Linked DNA regions of Mus musculus: regions 1, 2 and 4 are each reported to be linked to region 3. The links are microRNA targets in miRTarBase. Many come from high-throughput screens and were not tested one by one. Region 3 holds a microRNA gene; each other region holds the end of a gene's coding sequence.

Region 1 (7,119 bases), not on the chromosome of region 3:
AGGTTACCTCCTCCATCTACAGTAGGGGTTGAGGTTACCTCCTCATCTACAGTAGGGGTTGAGGTGTGAACTAGAGAAGCCAAAGAGATCAGAAAAAAAAATATGTCCATGAAGCCTGTTCATCTCGTGCAGTTTTAATGCTACAATTATTGTTGTTCGGCACTACGATTACTAGCACTCATTTCTCTAGTATTAGTGAGCTTACTCATTGCCATCTCACTACATCATTGCTCACTGGTGTGGGTTTTATGTTGATTACTAAGTTTATTATTGCTCCTAACCACAACCATTTCTGCGCTTGCTGAAAATTGTTACTATGGTGCAGTGTGATTCATTTCTCCAATTTACACAGTTATTATTCACTGCCACGATTGTTACAGGCTGCAACCATTCTTATGGTGGTGACTGCTAATGGTCCTTGTTACCCTGGACTGCAGTGACCACCACTGTTAACAGCTGAGCCTAAAAGAGCATCCTGTGGGGACTCCAACGACTCCAACGACCATTATGAGATCAGCTCATCACCTCCTTCTGAGTTCATAGGGACCCTTGGGTTTGGTTATTCTTCCTGACAGGTCATGAAAATGACTCTGTTCATCATCCATGGGGCCGCGTCAAAAAATGGTTTGCAAACTTGGTCATGAAACCCATAGGCAAATAGCACCAAGAGGCTGTGTGGACTCAGCCCCATGGGCAAAGTGCTTGTTGTGTAAGCATGGAGACCTGCGATTGATATTCCAGAAACTACATGTATAATGTGTGTGTGTGTGTGTGTGTGTGTGTGTGTGTGTGTGTGTATGTATGTATGTGTATATATGTATATATGAGAACCTGTGCTGGGAAGGAGTATATATATATATATATGTGTGTGTGTGTGTGTGTGTGTGTGTGTGTGTGTGTGTGTGAATATATATATATATGTGTGTATATATATACATATATATACACACATATATACATATATATACACACATATATACATATAATATACACATACACACACACACACACACACACACACACACACGGTACCGATCATATGTCACCTTAGGCAAGGCCCCCGAGTACCCTGCTTCTCTCCCATAGCCATCTCATGGTCACAGGCTCAACACCCTGACCACCTGAAGCCCCTCAGGACAGTGCTCAGCCCCAGGGAGAGCTAACCCAGCATGCGTTTCTTTCCAGGTTTTGGAGGAGTCCAAATGCCTGGTCCGAAGCTTCCTGAAGTCAGTGCTGGAGGAGGTGAACGAGAAGGAGTGCGTCATGCTGAAGCAGCTCTGGAGCTCCTCCAAGGGCCTGGACTCCCTGTTCAGCTATCTGCAGGACAAAATCTATGAAGTCTGAAGGGCCCCGGCTCACCTGCCCCCACTTGCTCAAGGGTCTCAGACTCCCAGCCGGGCCCTGTGTGTGTTTCTACCATCGGAGCCCAGGGTCCACCCTAGCCAAGAGTTTGTCGGGGTGTGTCTTCACACCTACGGTTGTATCCATTCCTCGTGCCCTTCGGTTGTTCCTCATTGGTTTGATTTTGTGTAAAGGTGGCAAACACAGCACCCTTGGCCTCCCTGTGCACCCTGTCCCAGCCAGCCATAGAGCCTTCCAGGGATCCATCTTCTAAGCGCTCCGCCAGGCCCTGTCGACCTTTCCCCCACTAGCTGAAACTCTCCTACCTTGGTCCAGAAGGGGGAAGACCAACCTCCCTCATCCTCCCGACTCAGTCTGTGTCTACACAGTGCCTCCAACTTGGAGATGAGGCCATCACAGTTCTCTGGTTATGTGATCTGGGACCAGGGAACGATCGTCTTAGGGAACCCACAGACCAACGAGCGTGCGGTAAGCTCTTGACTACATAGGCCTGGCTTCAGTCTTCTCTCCAATGCAACTCGGTGTGACTCTTAGGGCTTGGTCTTAATACCCAACTGAGTGATTTACAAACCCAGATATTGTACATTTAGAAACGTTTTGTTAAATATATATTTTTAAAACAACGTGTAAGTGGAAATTCTGATAATTTATGTGTATTATATGTAAAGCTAGTTTTGCAAAAAAAAAAGAAAAAAAAACAGAAGAACATGACTTACTAGGAAATTTTTTTCTTTATTTGGGTTTATTTTATTTATTTATTTTTGTTTATATATTATGAAGCCTATTGTTCACACAGATCTTATTTTCATACCACCCTGGACCAAATACTATTCAAGGTGCACGCCGTTTGGTGCGTTCTTGCGGTGAGCCACGTGGAAAGAGAGAAGAGAAGGGATTTTAAAAAGGCACAAGCCTGTGCCAGACCCTCTGTGTGCGGCTCATGTGACAAAAATGCCAGTTCTCTAATCTTCAAGGACAAGTCACGGTGGCATTTTCTCTCTTAGTCTCTGTCATTCAGGAGAATGGTGGACTCTGCTCTGTGTCAGCCCCGTCCCTAAAGTCGTGATGTTAGGAAGGGATGGCGAGCAGCCCGTCTTTAGGATGATATATTGCCTAGGGTGAGACTTTTTTTTTTTTTTTTTTTTTGCTCTAGGATAAATAAGTGAACTTGGATTTCCAAGACTTTTCCTTCCATATGAACTTTACTGTCTTGGTTGGCCTTCTGGGGGTGTTGAGGAAAAAAACAAAACTCAGTCCAAACCTGAACAATAAATCTTTAATTTTTGTTTTTTCTTTTTTAAGCTGAGAGAATACAAGCAAAGCCTTATCCAGCATGTAGGTCTCCTTGCCCCACTGGCCCTAGCCTACTGGAGCCTCCAGTAGCTGACTTTATGTCATCCAGTTGGAAGTCTGCACTGGGGGAGAGTTTGGGTGTGAGTTGATGAAGAGATGGGAAATGGAAGGGACCTGTCGTTGTGGTTGGGACCTCACACCTATTTGAGATCATGTGCTTAGAGAAAATTAGACCATGGGGCGTGCGTGGGGTTCCAGGCTAGTTCTAGATGGGTGACAACCTTGACCGCTGTTCTTTCTCTTCAATTCCCTCTGAGTTTCCCAGCCTTTCTCAGCCCTTCCTTGGTGACAGCCGGGCACAGCGCAGAGTCTGCACAGCTTGTGGAGGGGAGGTGGGCTGCAAAAGTAGAGATGGTTCTCTTTGGCTGCCCTTGAATGGGAATAGCTGCCCCAGTCACAAGTGGGAGGGATACATGGCCCTAAGCTCTGAAGGATGCAGACAGTTGAACGTTTGCATGAGAATTAGTGACCTGGCTCTAGACTATGGCTCCCGCGTATGCACATGGCTTTGTGGGCCTTAGAATGACCTTGCTTTGCTCTATAGAAATGCTTTAGAGCTCAGAAGGGTTCAGGAAGAAAAGAGTTTAAGTCCCTATTCTCCACCAGCCTGTGCCACCTTGGCCATGGGGAGCCTGAGAGTACAGTCACCTTGGCTGTATTTGGTCACAGGAAAAAGAAATTGGAGCATGTGGCCCCCTGGAGTCCCTATAGAACACTGTAGGAGCTGTGGGCTGACTGGGGTGTAGAGAATTAAGGAGCCTGAGCCTCTTGTCCCTTCTCTGCTGGGATGAGCTCCATGTACACTTAACCCCACGCCCTTAAGACATCTCCTGTTCTTTACATGTCTGAGTAACTCTTTCAGATCGCTGCCTCCTCTATAGGAAACACCTCCCCCAAACCTTTCTGATTAGCTTCTGATCAAGCCAGTTTTGTCCATAGGGAAGCAAGTTGTCAGGATTCTCTCTAGAAATAGCACGGGATGTTTAGAAATCCCTGTGATCAGCAGTCATCTTTGACTCCTGAGCATACAACCAGATATGCTTTCTCTCTTGGCCATTTGATGGGCGCCACACTTCCGAACATACTGAGGATCTGTGATGACTGAGGTAGACACTGACCATTTCTGAGGTGGGATTTACACCCCTTGTTTTTAAAGACTGTGTTCCGTCTGTTGGAAGGAGGTAGATCTGCCACATGGACACAAGGCATTTAGTCAACCTCCTGGGCTGGCCAAACCACAGGAGTTGGCATTTTCAGGCTGGCTGTTTGGGTAGTGTGGAGTTGGAATCCAGGTGACCCACATATAGCAGATTGAGCTGGGATGGAAAATTCAGTGGTTGTGTCCAGGTTACCCCCAAAGCTTTATTGAGGTCAGGTGCTGGCTCTCTCATCTTTTTACTTTGTACCCCATTGTCCTCTCTCCTCCCATGAGGTCCTTTTGCTTGACCTGTTACTCTCCTTGTTCCTTTTCCTACCACCCTTTCCTAGGGCCCAAGTAAATCTTTTGAGGAATTTTAGATGTCTTTGCAGGCCTGGTGTATGTGTCCCTATTGAACTTGGAAGGGCAGCTATGAGTGAGAGGTAGAGGCTTCCTCTTCTAAGTCAAGGTTCCCTCTAGCAAGCCATTTGAGACTCTCCTCTGTTTACCACAACCTTGGTGGTGGCAACTCCCATATGACCCGGCTGGGGTTAAGTGCTCAGATCCCAGGCGACTTTTGAAGAGTTATGGTTAAGATGGCCAGACCACCTCAGCACTGGGAAGCCACCACCTAATGTGGGTGTTCTTGGGTGACCCTTTACTGGGCAGAAGTAAAGTCCGAGGGAAACACATATGCAGAGAAAGGCGGGGACTGGGGGAAAATGGGGAAATGACGTAAAATCTTACTCTGTGGCATAAATCAAACTGGGAAATATCCTCTCGGAAGCGGGAAAAGATGATTTCCCTGAGTGAAGTTCAACCTGAGGACGGGAAAATAATGACAGGAGACACTGGGCAAGGCATATTTAAATCTCCGAATCCCTCTTTTACAAATAGCCTTGACTGAACGCTGAGTCCTATCCCTCACTACTAACTGCTGGTTTCCAAAATCCTCTTAAAAGGTTTGTTAAAAAACAAAATTCTCTCTCTCTCTCTCTCTCTCTCTCTCTCTCTCTCTCTCTCTCTCTCTCTAGTTTGGAATTTAGTCCTATCCCCACTCTTTTTCAATCTAATTTCTGTTGAAGTTTTTTTTTTTTGTAAAAAAATAAAAATTAAAAATAGAGACATCCACCAATCTTCCTATGGGGACGTTTAGAAGGAGGGCTTGCTTCTCTTCTGTGTTTCTTTATTAAGATACTGAGATCTGTTGTATGTATGAGCCAAGATGCCCTCACTAATATACACAGTATTTAAGACTCCACATGAGATTTCTTGAGTATTTTATTTTATTCCCTGTAAATGGTTTTGTAAAATCTTGGAAATGTACACTTTGGTTTTGTAGATAGATCTTTGGGGCGGGGCGGGGGTTGTCTTGCATGTGTGTTTTTTGTTGTTGCTAATTGTCACATCATTCTTTCTGCAGGTTTTGGTTGAAATGCTTATAGACCTTAATACAGTAAATATATTTTCAGAATATAAACTTTTATATTTCTGTGGTAAATTAGGACATGCGTTTTAGGCAATCTTTTCCATTAATATCACCTTTTCCTTTGGGGGTGAAATATATCTCATATTGGTTTGGTGCCAATGTTTTGGGGTTTTTTTTTTTTTTGGTCTTTAATTTTTTTAATTTAAAATCAGATAGTCATACATTATTAAGAAATCAAGTCAATTTTTTTTTCTCTAGAAGTCATTACGTTTGAATTCTAATTTGAAAATGTATTGAATTTGTGAATAAGCCTTACCATTAGGTTCAATAATCCTTCTGACCTTTCAAAACTACACGTGTAGTTCAAGATCCCCCCCCCCATAAATTCTCACTGTGTGGCAGTTGATGGAGTTCGGAAAAGAGCCTTAAGCTTGTTGCAAAAATAATAATATAATTAATTAATTAAAAGGGTAATACGGGTTGTTTCCTCCAAGTAAGCCATGTTGGTGGGCTCAGTGCAGTCTGTAAGTCGCTCATGGCTAATCTGAAGAGAGTGGTGGGAGGAGCTGATGGCGGCAGGGACCAGGTGGATTCCTCGGCGAATGTCTTTGGCCATAAGACTGGACCGAGGGTAGGTTTTCTTGAGCCACTTGTATTCTAGTAGTATGGTTGAGGGATGGTGCCAGGGAGGGCTGCTAACTCACCATTTGTTCTAAACAAATGACATTTCCTGCTCCTGACCCTGCTGGGGACCCCAGGGTAGCTAAAGTCCGTGCTCTCTGAGAGATGTTAACAAAGTTTACATAAGAGTCTTGCTGTGTAGACAATCTGGAGTCAGTTTCTGTTCCATCATCGGCATCGCCATATGTCCTTGGTGTTTCTGTGAGGAAGTGTGTGTCAAGCCATACTAGGGTGAAGTGTGCTGGATGAAGGTACTGTAGCTACAGAGAGGGAGCAGCAGGTGACCTGGTTCGTCCAGGGCTGTTTCGATGGCGAAAAAAATCACAGAGGGTAGAGTTAAGTCTCAAAAATCAAGTTATAATATCTTTTGGTAGGTGGCACTCCAGCCATCACTGGCTGATTCTCCTTACCAACCCTTGAAGTAGGATTTTGCATTTAGGGCTATGTGGCTTAGCATGCGGTCCATCTCTAGGAAGTGTCCAAAGTCACTTTCTCAGCCTTTGGGATTAAGATTGGCATGTGTCAGTCAGGAGACCTGATGTCTAGAGTGAAGCTTCAGCCTTACGTCTCTGGGTTTGCCTCACCCTCCTTACCCCGACATCTTGTCTGATGTGGGAGCTTACCGACTCCAGGATATTCAGAGGGTGTTGAGTGCTCCATCTAGTCTTTAACTTACCATTGTGCCATTAGTCCCAGCTTGAAGTTATTTTCTAATGTCTACGTTAGCTAGATTGTGAAAAAATAATTGCCTTTCATAAAACCAAGGACCAAAGATTCCATTATTCCAACCAAACATGAGTTTCATAAGCTGTAGGCACATCTGCATCCAGATGTGTGAGTTTCATGGCACAGAGGAACCCTTGGTTCCTCCCACCCCCAAACTCATGCTCCCTGACTTGCCATGCAGAGAAGTTGAATATCTCTTGAAAAAAGGCTCTGAAGGAAGAGTTTCTGAGATGGGAACTTAGTATCTCAGGTGGGTGTTTCTGCTTGTATAGCCTTAAGTTTTCATTTATCCCATTATAAAACGGAGGTCAGGGATCCCTCCGGGTATCTAACCACGGTCAACTCTTCCATTTGCACGTGGGCCTCCAGCTGAAGTTTTGCAGCTAGGTCTTCGGTAGTACATCCTGTGTGACTGCCAGATGTCCATCTC
Region 2 (7,119 bases), not on the chromosome of region 3:
TGAGAATGAAGATTTTCAACTTAAAGGGCCAGCTAATATCTTCAACAAAATAATAGAAGAAAACTTCCCAAACATAAAAAAAGAGATGCCCATGATCATACAAGAAGCCTACAGAACTCCAAATAGACTGGACCAGAAAAGAAATTTCTCCCGACACATAATAATCAGAACAACAAATGCACTAAATAAAGATAGAATATTAAAAGCAGTAAGGGAGAAAGGTCAAGTAACATATAAAGGAAGGCCTATCAGAATTACACCAGACTTTTCACCAGAGACTATGAAAGCCAGAAGAGCCTGGACAGATGTTATACAGACACTAAGAGAACACAAATGCCAGCCCAGGCTACTATACCCGGCCAAACTCTCAATTACCATAGATGGAGAAACCAAAGTATTCCACGACAAAACCAAATTCACACATTATCTCTCCACGAATCCAGCCCTTCAAAGGATAATAACAGAAAAGAAGCAATACAAGGACGGAAATCACGCCCTAGAACAACCAAGAAAGTAATCATTCAACAAACCAAAAAGAAGACAGCCACAAGAACAGAATGCCAACTCTAACAACAAAAATAAAAGGGAGCAACAATTACTTTTCCTTAATATCTCTTAATATCAATGGACTCAATTCCCCAATAAAAAGACATAGACTAACAGACTGGCTACACAAACAGGACCCAACATTCTGCTGCTTACAGGAAACCCATCTCAGGGAAAAAGACAGACACTACCTCAGAGTGAAAGGCTGGAAAACAATTTTCCAAGCAAATGGACTGAAGAAACAAGCTGGAGTAGCCATTTTAATATCGGATAAAATCGACTTCCAACCCAAAGTTATCAAAAAAGACAAGGAGGGACACTTCATACTCATCAAAGGTAAAATCCTCCAAGAGGAACTCTCAATTCTGAATATCTACGCACCAAATGCAAGGGCAGCCACATTCATTAGAGACACTTTAGTAAAGCTCAAAGCATACATTGCACCTCACACAATAATAGTGGGAGACTTCAACACACCACTTTCTTCAAAGGACAGATCGTGGAAACAGAAACTAAACAGGGACACAGTGAAACTAACAGAAGTTATGAAACAAATGGACCTGACAGATATCTACAGAACATTTTATCCTAAAACAAAAGGATATACCTTCTTCTCAGCACCTCACGGGACCTTCTCCAAAATTGACCATATAATTGGTCACAAAACAGGCCTCAATAGATACAAAAATATTGAAATTGTCCCATGTATCCTATCAGACCACCATGGCCTAAGACTGATCTTCAATAACAACATAAATAATGGAAAGCCAACATTCACGTGGAAACTGAATAACACTCTTCTCAATGATACCTTGGTCAAGGAAGGAATAAAGAAAGAAATTAAAGACTTTTTAGAGTTTAATGAAAATGAAGCCACAACGTACACAAACCTATGGGACACAATGAAAGCATTTCTAAGAGGGAAACTCATAGCTCTGAGTGCCTCCAAGAAGAAACGGGAGACAGCACATACTAGCAGCTTGACAACACATCTAAAAGCCCTAGAAAAAAAGGAAGCAAATTCACCCAAGAGGAGTAGACAGCAGGAAATAATCAAACTCAGGGGTGAAATCAACCAAGTGGAAACAAGAAGAACTATTCAAAGAATTAACCAAACGAGGAGTTGGTTCTTTGAGAAAATCAACAAGATAGATAAACCCTTAGCTAGACTCACTAGAGGGCACAGAGACAAAATCCTAATTAACAAAATCAGAACTGAAAAGGGAGACATAACAACAGATCCTGAAGAAATCCAAAACACCATCAGATCCTTCTACAAAAGGCTATACTCAACAAAACTGGAAAACCTGGATGAAATGGACAAATTTCTGGACAGATACCAGGTACCAAAGTTGAATCAGGATCAAGTTGACCATCTAAACAGTCCCATATCACCTAAAGAAATAGAAGCAGTTATTAATAGTCTCCCAACCAAAAAAAGCCCAGGACCAGATGGGTTTAGTGCAGAGTTCTATCAGACCTTCAAAGAAGATCTAATTCCAATTCTGCACAAACTATTTCACAAAATAGAAGTAGAAGGTACTCTACCCAACTCATTTTATGAAGCCACTATTACTCTGATACCTAAACCACAGAAAGATCCAACAAAGATAGAGAACTTCAGACCAATTTCTCTTATGAATATCGATGCAAAAATCCTCAATAAAATTCTCGCTAACCGAATCCAAGAACACATTAAAGCAATCATCCATCCTGACCAAGTAGGTTTTATTCCAGGGATGCAGGGATGGTTTAATATGCGAAAATCCATCAATGTAATCCATTATATAAACAAACTCAAAGACAAAAACCACATGATCATCTCGTTAGATGCAGAAAAAGCATTTGACAAGATCCAACACCCATTCATGATAAAAGTTTTGGAAAGATCAGGAATTCAAGGCCCATACCTAAACATGATAAAAGCAATCTACAGCAAACCAGTAGCCAACATCAAAGTAAATGGAGAGAAGCTGGAAGCAATCCCACTAAAATCAGGGACTAGACAAGGCTGCCCACTTTCTCCCTACCTTTTCAACATAGTACTTGAAGTATTAGCCAGAGCAATTCGACAACAAAAGGAGATCAAGGGGATACAAATTGGAAAAGAGGAAGTCAAAATATCACTTTTTGCAGATGATATGATAGTATATATAAGTGACCCTAAAAATTCTACCAGAGAACTCCTAAACCTGATAAACAGCTTCGGTGAAGTAGCTGGATATAAAATAAACTCAAACAAGTCAATGGCCTTTCTCTATACAAAGAATAAACAGGCTGAGAAAGAAATTAGGGAAACAACACCCTTCTCAATAGTCACAAATAATATAAAATATCTTGGCGTGACTCTAACTAAGGAAGTGAAAGATCTGTATGATAAAAACTTCAAATCTCTGAAGAAAGAAATTAAGGAAGATCTCAGAAGATGGAAAGATCTCCCATGCTCATGGATTGGCAGGATCAACATTGTAAAAATGGCTATCTTGCCAAAAGCAATTTACAGATTCAATGCAATCCCCATCAAAATTCCAACTCAATTCTTCAACGAATTAGAAAGAGCAATCTGCAAATTCATCTGGAATAACAAAAAACCTAGGATAGCAAAAGCTCTTCTCAAGGATAAAAGAACCTCTGGTGGAATCACCATGCCGGACCTAAAACTGTACTACAGAGCAATTGTGATAAAAACTGCATGGTACTGGTATAGTGACAGACAAGTAGACCAATGGAATAGAATTGAAGACCCAGAGATGAATCCACACACCTATGGTCACTTGATCTTTGACAAGGGAGCTAAAACCATCCAGTGGAAGAAAGACAGCATTTTCAACAAATGGTGCTGGCACAACTGGCGGTTATCATGTAGAAGAATGCGAATTGATCCATTTCTATCTCCTTGTACAATGGTCAAATCTAAGTGGATTAAGGAACTCCACATAAAACCAGAGACACTGAAACTTATAGAGGAGAAAGTAGGGAAAAGCCTCGAAGATATGGGTACAGGGGAAAAATTCCTGAATAGAACAGCAATGGCTTGTGCTGTAAGATCAAGAATCGATAAATGAGACCTCATAAAATTGCAAAGCTTCTGCAAAGCAAAAGACACCGTCAATAAGACAAAAAGGCCACCAACAGATTGGGAAAGGTCTTTACCTATCCCAAATCAGATAGGGGACTAATATCCAATATATATAAAGAACTCAAGAAGGTGGACTCCAGAAAATCAAATAACCCCATTAAAAAATGGGGCTCAGGGCTGAACAAAGAATTCTCACCTGAGGAATACCGAATGGCAGAGAAACACCTGAAAAAATGTTCAACATCCTTAATCATCAGGGAAATGCAAATCAAAACAACACTGAGATTCCACTTCACTCCAGTCAGAATGGCTAAGATCAAAAACTCAGGTACAGCAGATGTTGGCGAGGATGTGGAGAAAGGGGAACACTCCTCCATTATTGGTGGGATTGCAAGCTTGTACAACCACTCTGGAAATCAGTCTGGCGGTTCCTCAGAAAATTGGACATAGTACTACCGGAGGATCCCGCAATACCTCTCCTGGGCATATATCCAGAAGATGTCCCAACCGGTAAGAAGAACACATGCTCCACTATGTTCATAGCAGCCTTGTTTATAATAGCCAGAAGCTGGAAAGAACCCAGATGCCCCTCAACAGAGGAATGGATACAGAAAATGTGGTACATTTACACAATGGAATACTACTCAGCTATTAAAAAGAATGAATTTATGAAATTCCTAGGCAAATGGATGGACCTGGAGGGTATCATCCTGAGTGAAGTAACCCAATCACAAAGGAACTCGCACAATATGTACTCACTGATAAGTGGATAATAGCCCAGAAACTTAGGATACCCAAGATATAAGATACAACTTGCCAAACGCATGAAATTCAAGAAGAACGAAGACCAAAGTGTGGACACTTTACCCTTTCTTAGAAATGTGAACAAAACACCCATAGAAGGAGTTACAGAGACAAAATTTGGAGCTGTGACGAAAGGTTGGACCATCTAGTGACTGCCATATGCAGGGATCCATCCCATAATCAGCTTCCAAATGCTGACACCATTGCATACACTAGCAAGATTTCGCTGAAAGATCCCAGTTATAGCTCTCTCTTGTGAGACTATGCCGGGGCCTAGCAAACACAGAAGTGGATGATCACAGTCAGCTAATGGATGGATCACAGGGCTCCCAATGGAGGAGCTAGAGAAATTACCCAAGGAGTTATAGGGAACTGCAACCCTATAGGTGGAACAACATTATGAACTAACCAGTAACCGGGAGCTCTTGTCTTTAGCTGCATATGTATCAAAAGATGGCCTAGTTGGCCATCACTGCAAAGAGAGGCCCATTGGACTTGCAAACTTTATATGCCCCAGTACAGGGGAACGCCAGGGCCAAAAAAGTGGAGTGGGTGGGTAGGGGATTGGGGGGATGGGTATGGGGGACCTTTGGGATAGCATTGAAAATGTAAATGAGGAAAATACCTAATTAAAAAAAAAAGAAACCATAAAGGGAGCCAGATACCCTAGAACTGAAGTTATAATGATTATAAACCACCATATGGATGTGAGAATCAAGCTCCAGTGCTCTGGAATAGCAGCAGAGGTATCTTTCCAGACCAATACTTCCTGTATCTTGTTTTTTTTTTCCATTGCTTAATTAATTTATTTATTCACTTTACATCCCAACTGCAGCCCCACTCTCTCATAACAATCTCCCCACTCATACAGACCCTCCCATTACCACCCCCTCCACTTGACCTCTGAGAAGAGGGAAGTTACTTCCTGAGTCTTAAGGAGCCTCCTTTAGGATTTCATGAGTCTTAACAAGCTTTCCTCTGGGTTGAAATGTTTCAATTCAGAGATAACTGCTACATAAATACTAAAAGAGAGAGAGAGAGAGAGAGAGAGAGAGAGAGAGAGAGAGAGAGAGAGAGAGAGAGAGAGAGAAAGGGAGAAAAAAAACACTAAAAGAAAATCAAGTAGTTCCTGGATAGTGACACAACACAACCACAGATAAGAGAATGGGAAATATATCTTCTTCTACTTTTACTTTATTTCAGTCATGTAAATTGAAGCTATTGGATCAAGGATCAGATGACATTTTCTATATTTCTAGATAATGAACTTCAATGCAAGAAAAGCTTGGAGGAAGATATGACACAAATTCTTTATCTTGAATGATAAAGCAACTGAAGGGTCCAGATCCATACATGAGGGGTGAAGTTCACAAACTACCTAAGGTAGAGAAAGAAGCCCGGAGAAGCCAGGGATAGATCAACACAGCAGCAGAGGGCTTCCAGGAAGGATGCTGCAGTCACTTGGCTTGGGCTAGGGATTTGGGGAATTCTCTCTTTCTCTCTCTCTCTCTCTCTCTCTCTCTCTCTCTCTCTCTCTCTCTCTCTCTCTCTCTCTCTCTCTGATTTTGCAGGGGATTAAATATTCGCAGGGATCAGCTTGTACTAAACCTTGATAATCCAGATTTGCAGTTTAGCTCAGTTCCTCCAGGGTTATCTCACACTAGGGCAGGGACAGGGATGTTTACAGGGGGAGTGACAGACTCTGCTTCTGGGGAACTGGAAAAACACAACTGTGAATGCCTCTTCCTGAGACATTTCTAAACTGATATTTATTAGGATTTTCATTATAACCCTGTGACTAGTGGGACACTCTCTTACCAAGAGAAGGAAATGGGGTCGTTTTTAGAGTAGTCAGGGGAAAGATAAGCTATGTGTGTAACTTTTTGAAAGGCTTTCTTTTCTTTCTTTTGGACTGTGAAAAAGTTCCCACACCATCTTTTAACCAAGGGAGTCATGGAAGGAGAATGTGGTGGGAAAGAGATTAGGAAATGATGTCATAGCTTCTGGCATGCTTGAGTGGCACTAGATCCTAGTATAATTCAGATTTATATACATAGAGTCTTCCTTCTAAACTTGCTTCTATATATGTCTCTGCTCCCAAGAAGCAAAGCAAGTGTTTGCAGTTGCACCCCAGTCCATACTGGGGCAAGCCTACTCCCACCCTCCATCCTTTAAGGTATTCTGGGTATCCAGTGCTCTACAAGTGCTCAGCCATGTTGACAAGGCAGCAGGTGTCTGGAGCTTCTATTACCTCTTCAACGAGACATCATCTTCACAAACTCTGAAGAAAGAAAGAAAAGAAAACAACCATTCCTGTGAGGCTCCTCTGTAAAGCACCTGGAGTTACTTTGGGGAGCTTCTCCTATGTTGCAGGCAATGATATTAGTCATTGAACTCTCAGGACATAGTGTTCATAAAATACTAAGAGCTTATAAACAGAAATTATTAGTACTTTATTTCATGGTGTGTATGTGTGTTTATGTATGTTATATGAATGTATAGACAGATGCACATGCACCTGTGCATGCATGTAGAGGGCACAGGAGGATGCCCTGTGTCCTTCTGTAATCCTCCTTATTTTATTCCTTTGAAAATGGGTCTCTCACTGCACCTGGGGCTTTATTAGTTGTTGCTGATGTTGATGTTGTTTTAATGTGTATTTGTATTTTGCATGCATGTATACATGCGTA
Region 3 (7,119 bases):
TCGATTTCCTGAGTGAATGATGGAAGGAGGAAGGAGTACCCCCAGATTTCTTCTGTGGCCTCCACAAGTGCCACATGCACACGCATGCACTTGTTCACACAATGTAAACAAAATGCAACCGAAAAAACAAACAAACAAGGGGTTGGACAGATGGCTCAATAGCACTTATTGCTCTTACAGAGGACCTGGGTTTTGTTCCCACCTCCAACATGGTGGCTCACAGACATCAGAAACTCCAGTTCAAGGGGATTCAATGCCTTCTTCTGACCTCAGCAGGAGCCAGGCATATACATGGTGCACATATATATATGTGGGTAAAAACAGCTATAAAATAAAATAAAATAATTTTTTTTTAAAAATTGAAAAGTCCCCAAACCCCAAAACAAAACTCTTTGGCTTTTCGATTTTTACTGACAATGAACAGGGATGATTTCAAATCTGGACATTTAGAAGGAATGTGTTATTATTCTTCTGGGTAATCTTCACCCAGAGATTGTTTTTAGTCGTCCTTATAGTAGCAAATCTTTTATTACTTGACAGGCACCACTGTTCCATCTAGCCCTTATGCAGCAGGAAAGCAGGTCTGGAAAGAACACCTTGGTTCCTTTCCATATTTGGACCCAGAATGGAGCCTACCACAGAAAGTGCTTGGTCGGCTACACTACAGCTATGTATCCCTCCACTTTCCTGACCTCAGAAATTAAGCAAGACCAACCTGCTTAGTCCTTGGACAGGAGAGCATGGCAGTTATGTTTGTTGAATGAACGAATAAAGTAGTTTTGTTTTTGGGTGTTTGTTTGTTTGTTTGTTTGTTTTTCGAGACAGGGTTTCTCTGTATAGCCTTGGCTGTCCTGGAATTCACTTTGTAGACCAGGCTGGCCTTGAACTCAGAAATCTGCCTGCCTCTGCCTCCCAAGTGCTGGGATTAAAGGTGTGGGCCACCACTGCCGGGCTATAAAGTAGTTTTTAAAAGAAGTCTAAACCACATTGTAGCAACTGACAGAGACAGTGGAGTTGACCACAGGGCAGCTTCTGTCTGGGGACTCAGTTTCTCCCTTTCCCCCATTTTCCCCTCTCTCGTTCCTAACCCTCTCTCTGCTTTCTCTCCCTCCCTCTCGAATCTCTACTCTCTATCATTGCCACTGTCCTCTGTGCCATTTGTCTTTCTGTCCTATGGTGGTGAGCAAGATAGACCACTTTGTCAAATCTTCATTCTATAAAAGAGGAAACTGAGGCAAGAATTCAGAGATGAGAAGGAGGACTCTGCTAGATACAATTCTACAGGTAAAAACTGCCCCCCAAAAGAGAGATTCTCTGATTCAGTATTTAATGGACAGATACAAATCTAAAGACAGGCATGGTGATTTGGGCCTTTAATCCCAGCACTGGGAGGCAGAGGCAGGGGGATCTCTGAATTCGAGGCCAGCCTGGTTTAAATAGCAAGTTCAAGACTAGCCAGAGCTACATTGTGAGATCCTGTTTCAAAATCCTCAAAACAGCACAACTACCACCACCACCACCACTACCACCACCTATTCGTAGCAAGTACACTGACTAGCTAGGCTACGGTCACATGAACTGATTCTAGGCCAATCAATAGAAAAAGGAAAAGGTGTTAGGATTGTCTGCTGGAGTCCTGTGGGAGAGGCTTGGCTATTTACTATGACTGACAGTTTTTCCAGAGTCTCATGATTATGATCGGGGAGGGATATATTATGAAGGCAAAGAGCCCCTTCCCAAACTGTTACAAGACCTGGAGGCTAGAGCCTTGGCAGCAGTAACAGATGGAAAGCCAAATGTCTGGAGTTGGGGGCCTGAATTCTCCCCTCGGGATGAAGCTGGCCTGGTAGGAGCTGGAGAAGCCCAAGACAAATACAAAAGTTGGAAATGGTCTTTGAGAGCCTAGCTGCTTTTTTTTTCTTTTTAATCTGCCCTTCTTTGAATAGAGAAACTGCTGTAAATTTATCTCTCACTACTGAATCAAGTCTGCATTCTGGGAATTCGTGCCATCGTTTTCTGGGGGCATTTTGCACTCCCCACTCCCCAAGATACAGTTCCACCCTCAGGGTATAGCCCAGCCCGAATTTGGAAACTGGATTTGTCCTTGACAGGTTCCTCCAGACGCTCCTGACTGCTCTGTGACAGAAGCCATCTGTTCCTGCCTCTGCCTGTGCCCCTGTCATCTTCCTCTGCTTGAAATTCACTCCCTCATTTTCTCTGGCCCTTCCAGCCCCACCCACCTTTGAAGGTGTTCCTCAAGTCCCACATGCCTCCCACTGTCTTCTAAAGTCACCCCTGTCTGTCCTTTAGGTCCAGTGTATTATAGTAGAAAAAGGCCTGTAGATCAAGACTCAAGTTGGCCACCAGTTCTTTGCAAGACTTAGCTGGGAGTTATTTCCTCTCCCTGCAACTGCATTTCCTCTTCTGAGCACCGAGGGAGGACTGGTTTGTTAGAAAGGGAAACCCTCCCCCCTTCTGCACCACCCCCACTCCGGGGGCCGCTTGGCATCCTCCCAACTAAGAGGCATGCTGTCTCCATCCGCCACATTCTAGGATATTCTGATTCGGAAATGCAAGTCTCCACTTTAGTCCACTGCTAAATGAGAGAGCCTGGAGCTCAGTGATTAAATTGATGGAGTTATTACTTTCTCCGCCCCAGAGGTGAGACTTCCCATTTCAGGAAGGGTCCCACCTTGGCTCTTCTCCCTTTTCATAATCCTTGCCTAGCAAGGACCAGAGTGAGGTTTATGTGGAAGGAGGTCGCTTTCATCATTCAGGGTAGAAGGAAGTTTTCTGTGAGATTGGGCCTGGCATGGAAGAAGGTCACAAGACCCTGCCTATTTCTGCTTTCAACCATACAGAGCAAGGGATTTGTGCATCCAAAGTCTCTCTGGCTCCGGTTCATCTTAACTCCCACTTCTCTCCTATCCTCCCTTCCCAGGAAAAATGTTTCTAACTAAATGTGGCAGAGTCAAATGTTTATGAAAAACCCATTGCCAAGGATATGTCTGGCTGTGTGGTTGCTCTAAAGCAGACGGGTGGGGCGTGAGGCTCTGTGGGATGAATGATCTCCCAGTACCTTTGTGAATGACTGCATCTCTCCCACTGCACTAGGTCTGCTTGAGGGAATATACGGATTTTGCTACAGTGCTTTAGCTCTTGGGGGAGAGTTTTCCTGGAGTGTTTATAAATGGCTCAGAGTGGACTCTAGCTCCTCTTCTAATGTGTCAAATCTGAGAAACATTAATAAAGCCTTTAGGAGGGGATAGCAAGATGGCTCAGTGGGTAATGGAGCTTGCCCCTTAGCTAAGGGACCTGAGTTCAATCCCAGGAATCTACATGGTGGAAGGAGGAAACTGACTCCCACACGTCCTGTGATGTCCACAAGTGAGTCAGAGTGCACATAGCCCTCCACCTCACATACCCACAAATGCCAATAAAATGGCACAACAGTAACAAAATCCCAAGAAACCAAAAATACTCCTGAGAGGAACCAGTCAAACCATGGTTGTACTAAGTCCCCAGATATAGTTCCATCTCTCTTACTAAGAAAGAAGAGGGAAAGCTGAACTGGGAGGTCTCCTGTACTCAAAGGAACATCCAGGGATTTAGATGGATGGACAGTAGATGGGGAACTACAGCCAGTTGCTGGCATCTGTCATTCATGAGTGGGCCTTCTGGAAGGTCTTTCCCTGGCTCAGGCATTTCCCAAACTAGCCAGTGTGTCTTGAGGCCAGGAGCAATCATCCAAGTGCCACCTTCCTGAATTGCTCCTGGGAGAAAATAAGCCCCTTTCAACTCTCTCTGTGTTTAGAGTGTTTGATTAGATAAGAGCCATCGGTCTGCTTAGCAGTCACTGGTATTACTCTGTGTGGACCCAGAGGTTTGAGAGAGGCTCTCACTACAGAGTGAGAGCAAACACCCTCCCCCAGCTCCTGGAGCTCTGATTACAAGGCTTGAGCTACCACACCTGGCCGTTACAGTTGTGTTTTTATTTTATTTCTTTCTTTTAGTGTGTGATGTTTGTGTGTGTAAATGTGTTTTTATACTTGGACATGTGTGTGAATGCATAGAGGCCAGGAGTCAACCTCAGATATCATTCCGCAAGAGATCCCCACCTTGGTTTTTTGAGACAAGGTCTCTCACTGGGACCTGGGGCTCCCCAATTCAGTTAGATTCCTAAGGATCTACCTCCCGAAAACTCAAATATAATTATCAGTTTTTAAAAAGTGTATTTGAGTCTTTTGCGCACATGTACGTATGAAGGGCAGACCTTATGGTGGTCCTGTAGGCTTTTCCTAGACAAGTTGGAAAGTGTGGTCTAGGCCAACCACTGCCTGCATAGAAATCTTTCTCTATACATGGGTCAGGGTTTCACGATTAAAAAAAAAAAAAAATCAGTGTAAAGCCAAGTATGTGGCACTTGCCATTAATTCCAGCACTCTGGGAGGCAGAGGCAGGCAACTAGTTCTCTATGAGAGTGAGGCCAGCCTCACTATATACTGAGGCTATAGCCACAGTTAATTACATTAGGTGACCTTGTTTCAAGTCCCACCCCACCCTCCAAAATCAATGTAGACTCTAGTACTAAAATAAAATAAGTTTATTCTTTTGCTATAAAAGAAAAACATTTTGTTTACACAATAATTGGTAAAAAAAAACAATAAAAATATAAAGACAACAATAAACATCACCTGTAATACCAGAGACATAAGTTCTGTTCAAGTTTTGTCATGTTTCTTCCTAGTCTTCCCCCCATATATTGATACAAAATTATGCATGCAAAATGTTCCCAATACGCTTATGTTATGTATTCAGGAACATACTGCAAAAATAATTCTGTATCTGATTCCTATTATAAAAACAAACCATAAACAACTATGGTTAGACTTGCAGCTTCTTTCTTCCAACCTTTTGCCTGTGTATTGACACAAAGCTATTTATGCAAAATGTTCCCAATATAATTATAGCACATATTAGGAACACATCGCAAAAACAGCTCAGTATCTCTCTTTGGTCACTGGTGGTGCTACAGCTTGGAGGTGACTGTCCATATGATGGATGCAGAACCATGAATGCAAAGCATCCCCAATATACTCATAGTACATATTAGGAACACATCGCAAAAATAGTTCAGCATCTTGGTTTGCCTTTCTCCTTCCTCTATCATTCAACCACAGCATCAGTCCCCAGCATATTTGTTCAATAACATTAAAGCACAACTCAGGATAACTATAATATTTTGATCTGTTCTCTTAGCCTTATATCTGTATATTGATCCCATGTATGTAAAATTAAAACGGAGAAGAAAATATTTTGCATGTTTATCATTAAACGCTTTTTATTAGTGTTTGTGGCACATCTTTATGTCACAAAAATTATTTTCAGAAATATCAATCTTAATGATAGCATCCTATCACATTGTCTTAGAAGAGCATATTTTATTTATGCAACCCTTTACTATTAATAAGTCATTTTATCCTCAAAATGACTGAAGTGAAGGGAGGTGGTAACCCCAGTGACATAGATGGTGAGGCAAATGAGCCACAGATGCAGATTCCTCCTGGCAGGCCTAGAGAGTGATTTAAAGCCAGCATGAGCAAGTTAGTGAGGCCTAGTCTCAAAAAAAAAAAAAAAAAAAAGAATTGCAAGCAGGTATGATGGCATACACTTATAATGCCAGCCCTTGGGAGGGGGAATTAGGAGGGGAAGGAATTCAACATGAGCCTCTGCTACACAAGTTTGAGTCTGGGTAACATAAGATCTTGCCTCAAAAATAAATAAATAAATAAATAAATAGTAATAAACATCCTGATGTTTTTTCATTTTCCGTGACTTTCCGTGGCTTGTATATTTATCTTCATGGCTATTTATATGACTCCACATTTTTAAGGTAACCTGTTTTTCTAAAGCTTACAGCTAATGTTTTTCTTGTTTGAGGAAAAACATAGTTTTAATATTTTAGCCTATATATAAAACCATATGTCCTGTCTAGGCTTCAGTGGACTGAATAGAAATGCAAATTAATAAAACCCTTCTCATTCTATAAAAACACAACCCATACCCTCCCCCACTCCATGGCAACCCCTTTCCTCCTTGCCTAGGGCTCAGTCCTCTCCTGACCTCTCATCTCTGTAATACTCACCCCACCAATTCTTAGGAAGAGGAGTGGCTCCCAGACCTTTCAGTTATCAATCTGTCACAAGGGCACAGTGGTATCTCGTGACATGATGATCCCCGAGACGTCTGAGATCCCTGCATGTGTAACCTCAAATTTCTGGATCTCCCAGTACCCTTAAAGACCTTTTAGCGAGTAGCATTTCACAATGGGACACAAATCAAAGCACAACAAAACAAAGAAACAGCAAAACTGTGAAGATGGGGAAAAAAAAACAAAACAAATAAGCAGCTAACCAACCTACTACAAATTCTGTTTTTAAAAAGTCTCTTTGTTTTGCAGTTTCTTTCCAGTTTCTACTCTACTTTCAGCCACCAGAGTTAGTGTAATTCTGTGGCCTTGATTTTTAAAAGCTTGTTATCTTAAGAATGTTTCTAAGTTTCTAGGTAGTTTTTATGATTATTCACAATGACTAAAAACGTTCTTTTGAGGATGCCACTAAATTAATCTCTATGGTTAGTTCATATTTGCTCCCTTAATTTACTTGAGTCTATAGAAAGGATCAAAGCTTTAAAGTGAATTCACTTTACAATTTTTAAGCTTGTACACATTGAATCATGCATGGGTAGGTGACTTACAGTCATTACTTAATCATGAAGTCAATCTTGAGCCTCAGTTAGGAAGTGTCCAGCAGTTAGACTCTCACTCGTCCTTCTTAGGACTAGACAGTTTCAACTAGACCTTTTCTAACCAAACACACTAGTTCAGCTCCATTTTCTGTCCTAATCACTATGGTGTAAGCTTCTGATGGCCAGGCAGGAATGTTACCTGGCACAGCATGAAGTCTGCATGATGCAGTTTCCCAGGTTTCATCTTCAGAATCCTCAGGTCTCTCGAAACTTTGTCTGCCTTACTTATCTCTCAAAGTTGTAAACAACAAATCTATGAAAGCAGTTGGGGCCGTAAGTGAACAGAGGAAATGAAGGCAAGTGCTGAGATGA
Region 4 (7,119 bases), not on the chromosome of region 3:
AGACAGAGACAGCTGGCCCCTGGCACCTGCAGGCAGGCCAACCAGTCTGGCCGATTTAACCAGCTCCAGGCCAGTGAGAGACCCTGTTTTAAAATAAGGTGAGAACAGCATGTAAGGTTAACCTGAGAACTCCAATCGTGTGTGTACGCACTGGCGCGTGAGCCGCCACACTCTGCACCTGCACACACAAGCACACACATGCACACAAAGAAAGACATCTGTTCATAACACCATTAGGAAACTTGTAAAATATAAACTAACCCAAACAAAACCTTGACTTATTAAAATCCAAAAGTGTTACATAACTGACAACGTGCAAATAAAACAACTTTCCTACCATTAAAAAAAACAAAACAAAACAAAAAAACAACTACAAATGAGCAGAACGCATCACAGTGTTAAAGAGTCCTAGCCTACATAAGCAGATCACGGGCTCCTGTCCACAAATCAATTCACAAATCCTTATCAGAATAACAGTTCTGCTACTCTTCTTTAAAATACATACATAAGCAAGAAAATATTCCACACTTACATGTTACACATGACACACTTACAACTGACCACACAAAACCGTTTTAAATCAGATGGCTGGCAAAACATGGGCCAGTTTTAAAGTAGAGCATTGGATGGGGTGGGGTGGTAAGTGAATCAAAATCAGTTTGAATTACCAAAGATTTTCACCTACAACACACATACATCATCTTTTAGGAAACTAGCCTACAAACAGGGAACCCCTCAAGCACACTACTCTACTGACCCCGAGAAGTCTTGAATAAAAATGAGGTTCCCTCTACAGGTAGTGGGTGTTAAAAAGAAGCAAGGAGACCAGTGTAGTGGCATACACCTTTAATGCCAGCACTTTAAGGGGCCAAGACAGGTATCACTATGAGTTTGAGGCCAGTCTGGTCTACATACAGTGTTTCAGGACAGCCAGGCCTTCATAAAGACACCCTGTCTCAAAAAAACAAAAAACCAGAAACCTCAAAAACCTGTTGATCAGAGAGTCAACACCAATCCTGAGGAAAGACCATGAGCCACCCACCGGAACCCCACTTACTCATCACCATCGGGACACAGGCCGGTGGCCTCATCGTACTTGGAGCAGTATATGTCCGGGCTGTAGTTGAAGGTGCCATCGCGTCGTCGGAGCGGTCTGCGACGACGCTGATTTAGGAAATGCCAATGGAAACAGGTGAACGGCCTGTGCTGGCTGCACTTATGCTGCAAAAACAGGGAGCACTGCTCTGTCCTAAACTCCTTTAGATACCTAAAAAGACAAACAGCGTTGCGGGCCGCAGCCACCGCCGGCTGGAGGCCCCTGGGATGCGGCGGGGCAGGGTCCCAGACGAGAAGCATCCCCCACCCCCGGCAATACACACACACACACACACACACACACACACACACACTGAGCGATCCTGACTGCCATGGCCCGGTACCCTCCTTTTTTAAAAGCACCCCGGGTGTCACTTCCCAACTCGGAGACCAGGTAACTCCAGTCAGGCAGACTCTCCGTTCCCTGACCCCAAATACCACTTCCCAGTCCCCAGATAAGAAGATTCCCGGACACGAGGCATAGACCTCCTCTTAGCAGGCCATCACCAACTCTGATCCCAGGTAACTCTACAGAAGTACACTCCATTCTCTGCCCCCTTCTAGTCCCTGACCCCTGGAGCCACCTCTCAATCCTCAGTCCCGGTCTCCCGCTCGACTACCTTCATAGGTTCCAGATGGACTGCAAGCGCCACCCGCCCACACCAGGCGCAACCCCTCTTCTGCGCCGCAGAAACGACCCCCGGGCTCACAACCAAGCGGCCACCGGACTCTAGGTGCGGCTCCGCCCCCAGCCCAGAGGTCACCCCAGACCCCGGAACCGCCTCTCAACCTCAGGCAGCGACTGCTCGAGTCCGGATGGCCGTGCGCCCACCTCCAGCCCAGGCGCGGCCCTGAGCTACGAACGCAGGCGCTGTTCCCCAGACTCCAGTCTGGCGCGCGGGGTCGCCGGAGACCAGGAGCAAGTCCAGCCCCCAAGCCAGGGGTCACCGAAAACCCTGGGCGCTGCCACTCCACCTTAGGCGGCGGCCCGCGCCTGGACGGCGTGACCCGCAAGAGCTGGCGGCGGGGGCGCGGGCGCGGGCGGGGCGCACCCACAGCGGCGACACCGGGGCCCGTGGCGCACGCGGGCCGCTGCTTTGCGCCGCAGCGCCCAGAAGGCCACGGACCGCAGCCCAGGCACTGACCTGTAGTGGGTTGGTTTCTCTGTCTGCGGGGGGGACCCGCTCAGCGCCGCCGCCGCCGCTTTCGAAACCGACGGCATTTTCAGTCAAAACAATGCAGCGCGCATGCGCCGCGCCGGCGCCCCCGGATCTCCCCCCCGCACCGAGCCCCCTGCGCCCCCCGCCGCGCCGGCCACACCCCCGGGCACGCCACGCCGGCCACGCCCCCACCGACCCCTCGCCCACGCGCGCTGTGCGGCGGGGGTGACACACAGGTTCTGCCGGCCCACCACGGCAGCAAGTTACAGGCGCAAGGCGGGACACGCCCGTTGGTGTAGAGTCCCCATGATGGCCTCTGCGTCCAGGGCTGCTGTTGGGCACAGGTTTCTTTGAACTGGAAAAAGTCTATAATTAGACTGTGACGATGGTCGCCCCTTTATTAAATTTGTGAATTTAAGGATAATCCGAGTGTGAATTCTGTTGAGCCACTTTTTTAAAAACACAGCGTAAGATGCTGCCAGATGAGCCCATCGGGTAAAGGATGTACAGGGTGGTCAGTAATCAGACTGATCTGGGGTCCGCAGAATGCTAACTGCACGTGGCGGGCAGGACTCGCAAGTGCTAGGATGAATTCGGGAGAACCCAGGGCTAGCATTCACTGGTGTGTAAAGTGACCACAGCTCCTCTGCTAACTGCGGGTGTGCTCTGAGGGATAAAGTCTGAGTAGCACAGCCACAAGTGTTCTGAAAGGAATGGGCAGAAAAGAGAGGGATGTTTTCAGAAAGGAGGATTACAGAAAACCTATCCCATTTCCAGAAACACGATCTAAAATATTAACAGAGAGACATACACGGTCCAGGTATGTATGCTATATTTTAAAGTACTAGTAAGGTAAAATTACCATTTGCTGGTAGGATTACTGACTTCTTCATATGACATTTTTGTAGACAAATTCTTTGAGTTGTTGACAACTTTGGAGAGTGAGTTGGTTTGGTTTGGGTGCTAGAGGTAGAACCCGGAGCCATGTGCGTGCCCGGACCCAGGTCCATGCCGGCTAAGCACTTATCCCTGAGCATTTCCCCTAGCCCACAGACCCTGAAGTTAACTTAGTTTAAAGGACTTATTTTAATGGTTGCACAAGCATGTGGATGGATAGTGAGCTGTAGGCAGTCCCAGCAAACAGAAACATTGTTTTTTCAAAGATCAAATAGAAGAATGAGCAAGCAGGGAAGGGCAGACAGGGGAACCTACAGAGGAATAAATGTGTCTCAGACTGCTGAGGGATAGGGAATGAAAACTAGGTCAACCCCCAAGTCCAGCCTGGAGAAACACACAAGACAACCTAAGGAATCTGAGAGAGAGAGAGGGAGAGAAAGAGAGAGAGAGGGAGAGAGAGAGAGAGAGAGAGAGAGAAGCTGGCTCTGTAAGGTGTGACAGAGAGCAAATAGCAGTGATGGTGGAACTCAGCGACCTTGACTGTGGACATGGGCAAAGGTCTCTCATCAAAAGATGTGTTTTATTCCTCTGCAGACATCACCTGTGACACCCACATAAGGGCCAGACGTGTCCTTTTATTGAAGCTGGTACTCGAGGGCTATGGCTCAGAACAGAACTAACAGGTTTTTATCTGTGTAACAGCTCACTTCCAACACTACTGAGCCTTTCCATTTTCAAGAGCTTACACAAAGTGGCTGTTGGGGCTGGAGAAATTGCTCACAGTGAATGGCTCCTCTTCCAGAGGACCCAAGTTCAGTTCCCAGAACCTACATGGTTGCTCATAGCCATTTGTATTTCCAGTTCCAGGGAATCTGACATCCTCTTCTTACCTGTATAGGCAACAGACATGTATGTGATGCACATACATACACATAAAGTAAATCTAATTTTGTAAGCGTCAGTTACGTTAACTCCTCCTCCCTCAAAAGAACATGTTTTATTCAATCATTTCTTTCTGCCCAACAGTTTATCTACTGTCTTGTACATGCAGCTGGCTTATAGTTAGTTACAGGCCCTCTCCCTACCTGATATTTGCTGGGCACTCACCCAGAGAATTCATTGGGCTGAAAACAATAGGAAAAACACAAGCTACAGTCTATTTGGGAAATTGGAAAAGCATAGCACAAAAAATAAATAAATAAATAAAATAAACATTTAAGTAACCCTTTAGCTAACACACCTATTCTCCTATCCGTAAAATAGATGTGAAACTCAGATCTGGTGGTGCTCGCCTTTGATCCCACCACTCAGGAGGCGGACGCAGCCTCTGCCTCTGAGTTCAAGGCCAGCCAGGGATACAGCCAGAATTCCAGGATGGCCAGGGCTACATAAAGAAACCTTGTCTTGAAAAATTAGAAAGGGGGAAGGAAAGAAAAAAAACGAGAAAGCAGAGGTGTAGTGAGTGTCCCCACTTATTCTGCTCACGAGTTCAAATGCCCACATCACTTCAGATAAGTTATCAGCCTGGCAGCACTGAGAACCCACTGCATGAAATGTAACATTTTTTTTTTTTTGCAAAAGCAATTCTATGTGAGCTGGAAACAGACCTCATTGGTAGGATAGCACAATAGACTCCTGAGTTCAATCACAACACTGTGAAAAAGACAGAAACAAACAAACAAAAAAAACCAACCCACTATATTATTGATGTTTTGTTTTGTTTGAGACAGGCCCTCCCTACGTAGCCCAAGCAGACCCCAAACTTAGGATCCTCCTGCCTCAGTTTCATAAGTGTTGAGATGACAAGCATACCCTACCACTTCTGTCAAGTTTTTAAGTTCTCATGTGGGAATGAAGAGCAGAAGAGAAAAAAAAAAAAAAAAAGATGGCAGCAGAAGCAGGAAGCAGGCTGATATCTAAGTCTACAGCAAGGCTGGTTTACATAGCCAGTTCTAGGCCTGCCAGAGCTAAATAGGGGGACTGTGTTTCAAAACAAAAAAACCAAAGCCTACTTGATGATGAAAGGGGAGGTGAGAAAATTGAGTTCATTAGACTTTACCAAATGTATTTTCCATTTGTTAGTTTTTAAAATAGCTTCAACTGATGTTGCACACATATAGGTAATTACACTTCAGCAGTTAGTCTGTCTCGGAAAGCGAATGAACTGCAGGTAACACCTCCACCAGATGAACGCTGGAAACATGATTAGGCTGTATGAACACATCATAACTCAAGAGCATAAGGTGCACCCAAAACCTTTTCTAGGAACCTCAAAAGTTCTATGGACGTAATCACTGGGCATTGGTGTTCGGCAAAGATCAGATTTCAAGCCTCCAACTTTGTGCTGTGTTCTTGTGTCTCAGCGCCAAGAGCGCCATCCAAGTCCTTTAAGCAACGAGGACATGCGCAGAACCAGTTCAGAAATCGTCAAATTCAACAACGAAAGGACGGCTGCCTAGTCCCTTCCTCAGCACGCACCCTGTTACGTTCTAGCCCCGTAGAGGGCCGGAGCTTCAAGCTCCTCCGGAGGACCTTCCGGCTCCTCCTCGTCCTCCTCTTCCAACACCTGCCTCAACCACAGGTCCATGCCGCTCTCCTCCCTCTGGTAGCACCATACAACCAGAGCCACGAGTGTGAGGGTGAGCGGCAGCACTTTCCACCAGGGCCGCTGCTGCGGCTTCCCCAGGGAATGCTCCACGGTCCAGCGGATCGGGGTGGCTTTGCTGCCGGAAAATTGGATCGGGAGGTTGGGGTCGTCGTCCTCCTCTTCCCTGTCTGCAGGCTGAGCTGGAGACCGGCCACGGGGCGGCGGATGCAAACTTCGCGAAGCCCAGCCCACGAGCCGCAGAGCCCGGACCGCTCTGGAAGAGAGACAGCAGTAAGCGTCCCGGAGCCACGGCCACCTCCCACCCTCACGCACCGGCACCTCACGGCTCTCACCCCGCAGCCCGTGAGCACAGGACACTGTTCATAGCGACCTCGACTCGCACGCTGAGGCGCACCGCGCTTTCGTCACTTCCGTCGCACAAAACCGGAAGCCGAACTTCACATCCAATTTCACGACTACAAAACGTGGGTCCAGCGGCGCAACGGAAATGATGCATTTCCTCTCGCTAGCTCTTCCGTCTCCGGCCTCGCCCTGATCACTATCTGGACGACTTACGGGTTTGTGTCGTTCTGGGTCCTTCCATTGAGACCTGATCCGGCGCGGCGGATTGAAAGTGAAGCAGACTCGGTTCTCCGAAGAGCTTGGCCCGAGGCTGTTTAGTGTGATGCCCAAGGACTTGAGAACCCGTGGCATCTGCTGGCTTCTTTCCAGGACCATCGTCCGGGAGGGACTTGGTCCCTGTTCTCCATGAGCGCATCTTCCAGTCTTAGCGCTCCATCCGAGCTCTCAGGCACGGAGGCGGGAAACCCTCGCGCCTTAAACGCCTCCCGGCCTGGCCGTCCCTTTGAAAAGGCTTGTAGAAACATCACCTCCACCTAGACTATCCCAGGTCCCCAGAATCCATTTGCCTTCAGGAAGAATGGAAATGGCTCTGTGTAGACCATAGGCTGACCAGATCTCGGACAGCCTACAGGGAGGCGATTCTGAAATTACACTCCCATAGCTAACGTGCACCTGGCCTTTTGATCTGGAAGCTGATTGAAGCTCTGCATCGTCAGAATCAGCCAGGCAACCTTGTAATCCCAATACTGTGGAGGCAGATAGAAGAGAATCACTGGTCCCAAGTACTACACAGCTTAACATCAACCCAATTTAAAATACAAAAAAAAAAAAAAAAAAAAGAGGATCAGCCCTAAAGGTGTCTGTCTTCTTAGTACCTGTGCTGTGTAGAAGCTAGAGTGAGTTATATTACACCTGGTCTTACCGCAGGGCTCAATAATGATTATCACTCCGATTTTATTCTTGATCTGTAAACCAGTGACATGAATAAAAACAAAAAAACACCTCTTCCTCTATCTC

What was found. Region 3 holds the annotated microRNA mmu-miR-450b-5p (UUUUGCAGUAUGUUCCUGAAUA, at 4,812-4,833, opposite strand). A microRNA usually pairs through its seed, bases 2 to 8, with sites in the 3' UTR of a target mRNA and lowers its output. Matches are read on the target gene's strand: a 7mer-m8 pairs with bases 2 to 8, a 7mer-A1 pairs with bases 2 to 7 and ends in A, and an 8mer does both.
Region 1: the mRNA of Cdyl2 is a reported target of mmu-miR-450b-5p. Seed matches in the 3' UTR shown: 7mer-A1 at 2,038-2,044, 8mer at 3,053-3,060 and 7mer-A1 at 5,718-5,724.
Region 2: miRTarBase lists Cabp5 as a target of mmu-miR-450b-5p. Seed matches in the 3' UTR shown: 7mer-m8 at 6,546-6,552, 7mer-m8 at 6,052-6,058 and 8mer at 5,993-6,000.
Region 4: the mRNA of BC003965 is a reported target of mmu-miR-450b-5p. Seed matches in the 3' UTR shown: 7mer-A1 at 4,723-4,729.

What each region holds. Positions count from the first base shown.
Region 1 is chr8:116,569,354-116,576,472 of GRCm38, reverse strand. It overlaps Cdyl2 (chromodomain protein, Y chromosome-like 2), which reads left to right. Exons shown (of 7, transcript NM_029441.3): 7 at 1,186-7,119. The coding sequence ends at 1,344. Among named protein-coding and RNA genes, the nearest start is that of Gm31367, 33 kb to the left of the region's middle.
Region 2 is chr7:13,407,374-13,414,492 of GRCm38, reverse strand. It overlaps Cabp5 (calcium binding protein 5), which reads right to left. Exons shown (of 6, transcript NM_013877.3): 6 at 5,615-6,710. The coding sequence ends at 6,685. Among named protein-coding and RNA genes, the nearest start is that of Cabp5, 13 kb to the right of the region's middle.
Region 3 is chrX:53,043,233-53,050,351 of GRCm38, forward strand. Mir450b (microRNA 450b) reads right to left here and starts at 4,846; the gene lies at 4,765-4,846. It overlaps Mir450-1 (microRNA 450-1), which reads right to left and starts at 5,012; the gene lies at 4,922-5,012. It overlaps Mir450-2 (microRNA 450-2), which reads right to left and starts at 5,135; the gene lies at 5,067-5,135. Mir542 (microRNA 542) reads right to left here and starts at 6,255; the gene lies at 6,171-6,255.
Region 4 is chr17:25,183,614-25,190,732 of GRCm38, reverse strand. It overlaps BC003965 (cDNA sequence BC003965), which reads right to left and starts at 6,172. Exons shown (of 2, transcript NM_183150.2): 1 at 6,093-6,172; 2 at 3,071-6,013. The coding sequence starts at 6,124. The coding sequence ends at 5,635. Unkl (unkempt family like zinc finger) reads right to left here and starts at 2,333. Exons shown (of 15, transcript NM_001197024.1): 1 at 2,241-2,333; 2 at 1,058-1,267. The coding sequence starts at 2,317. It overlaps Gm52286 (a long non-coding RNA gene), which reads left to right and starts at 1,263. Exons shown (of 2, transcript XR_003952239.1): 1 at 1,263-1,617; 2 at 1,724-2,679.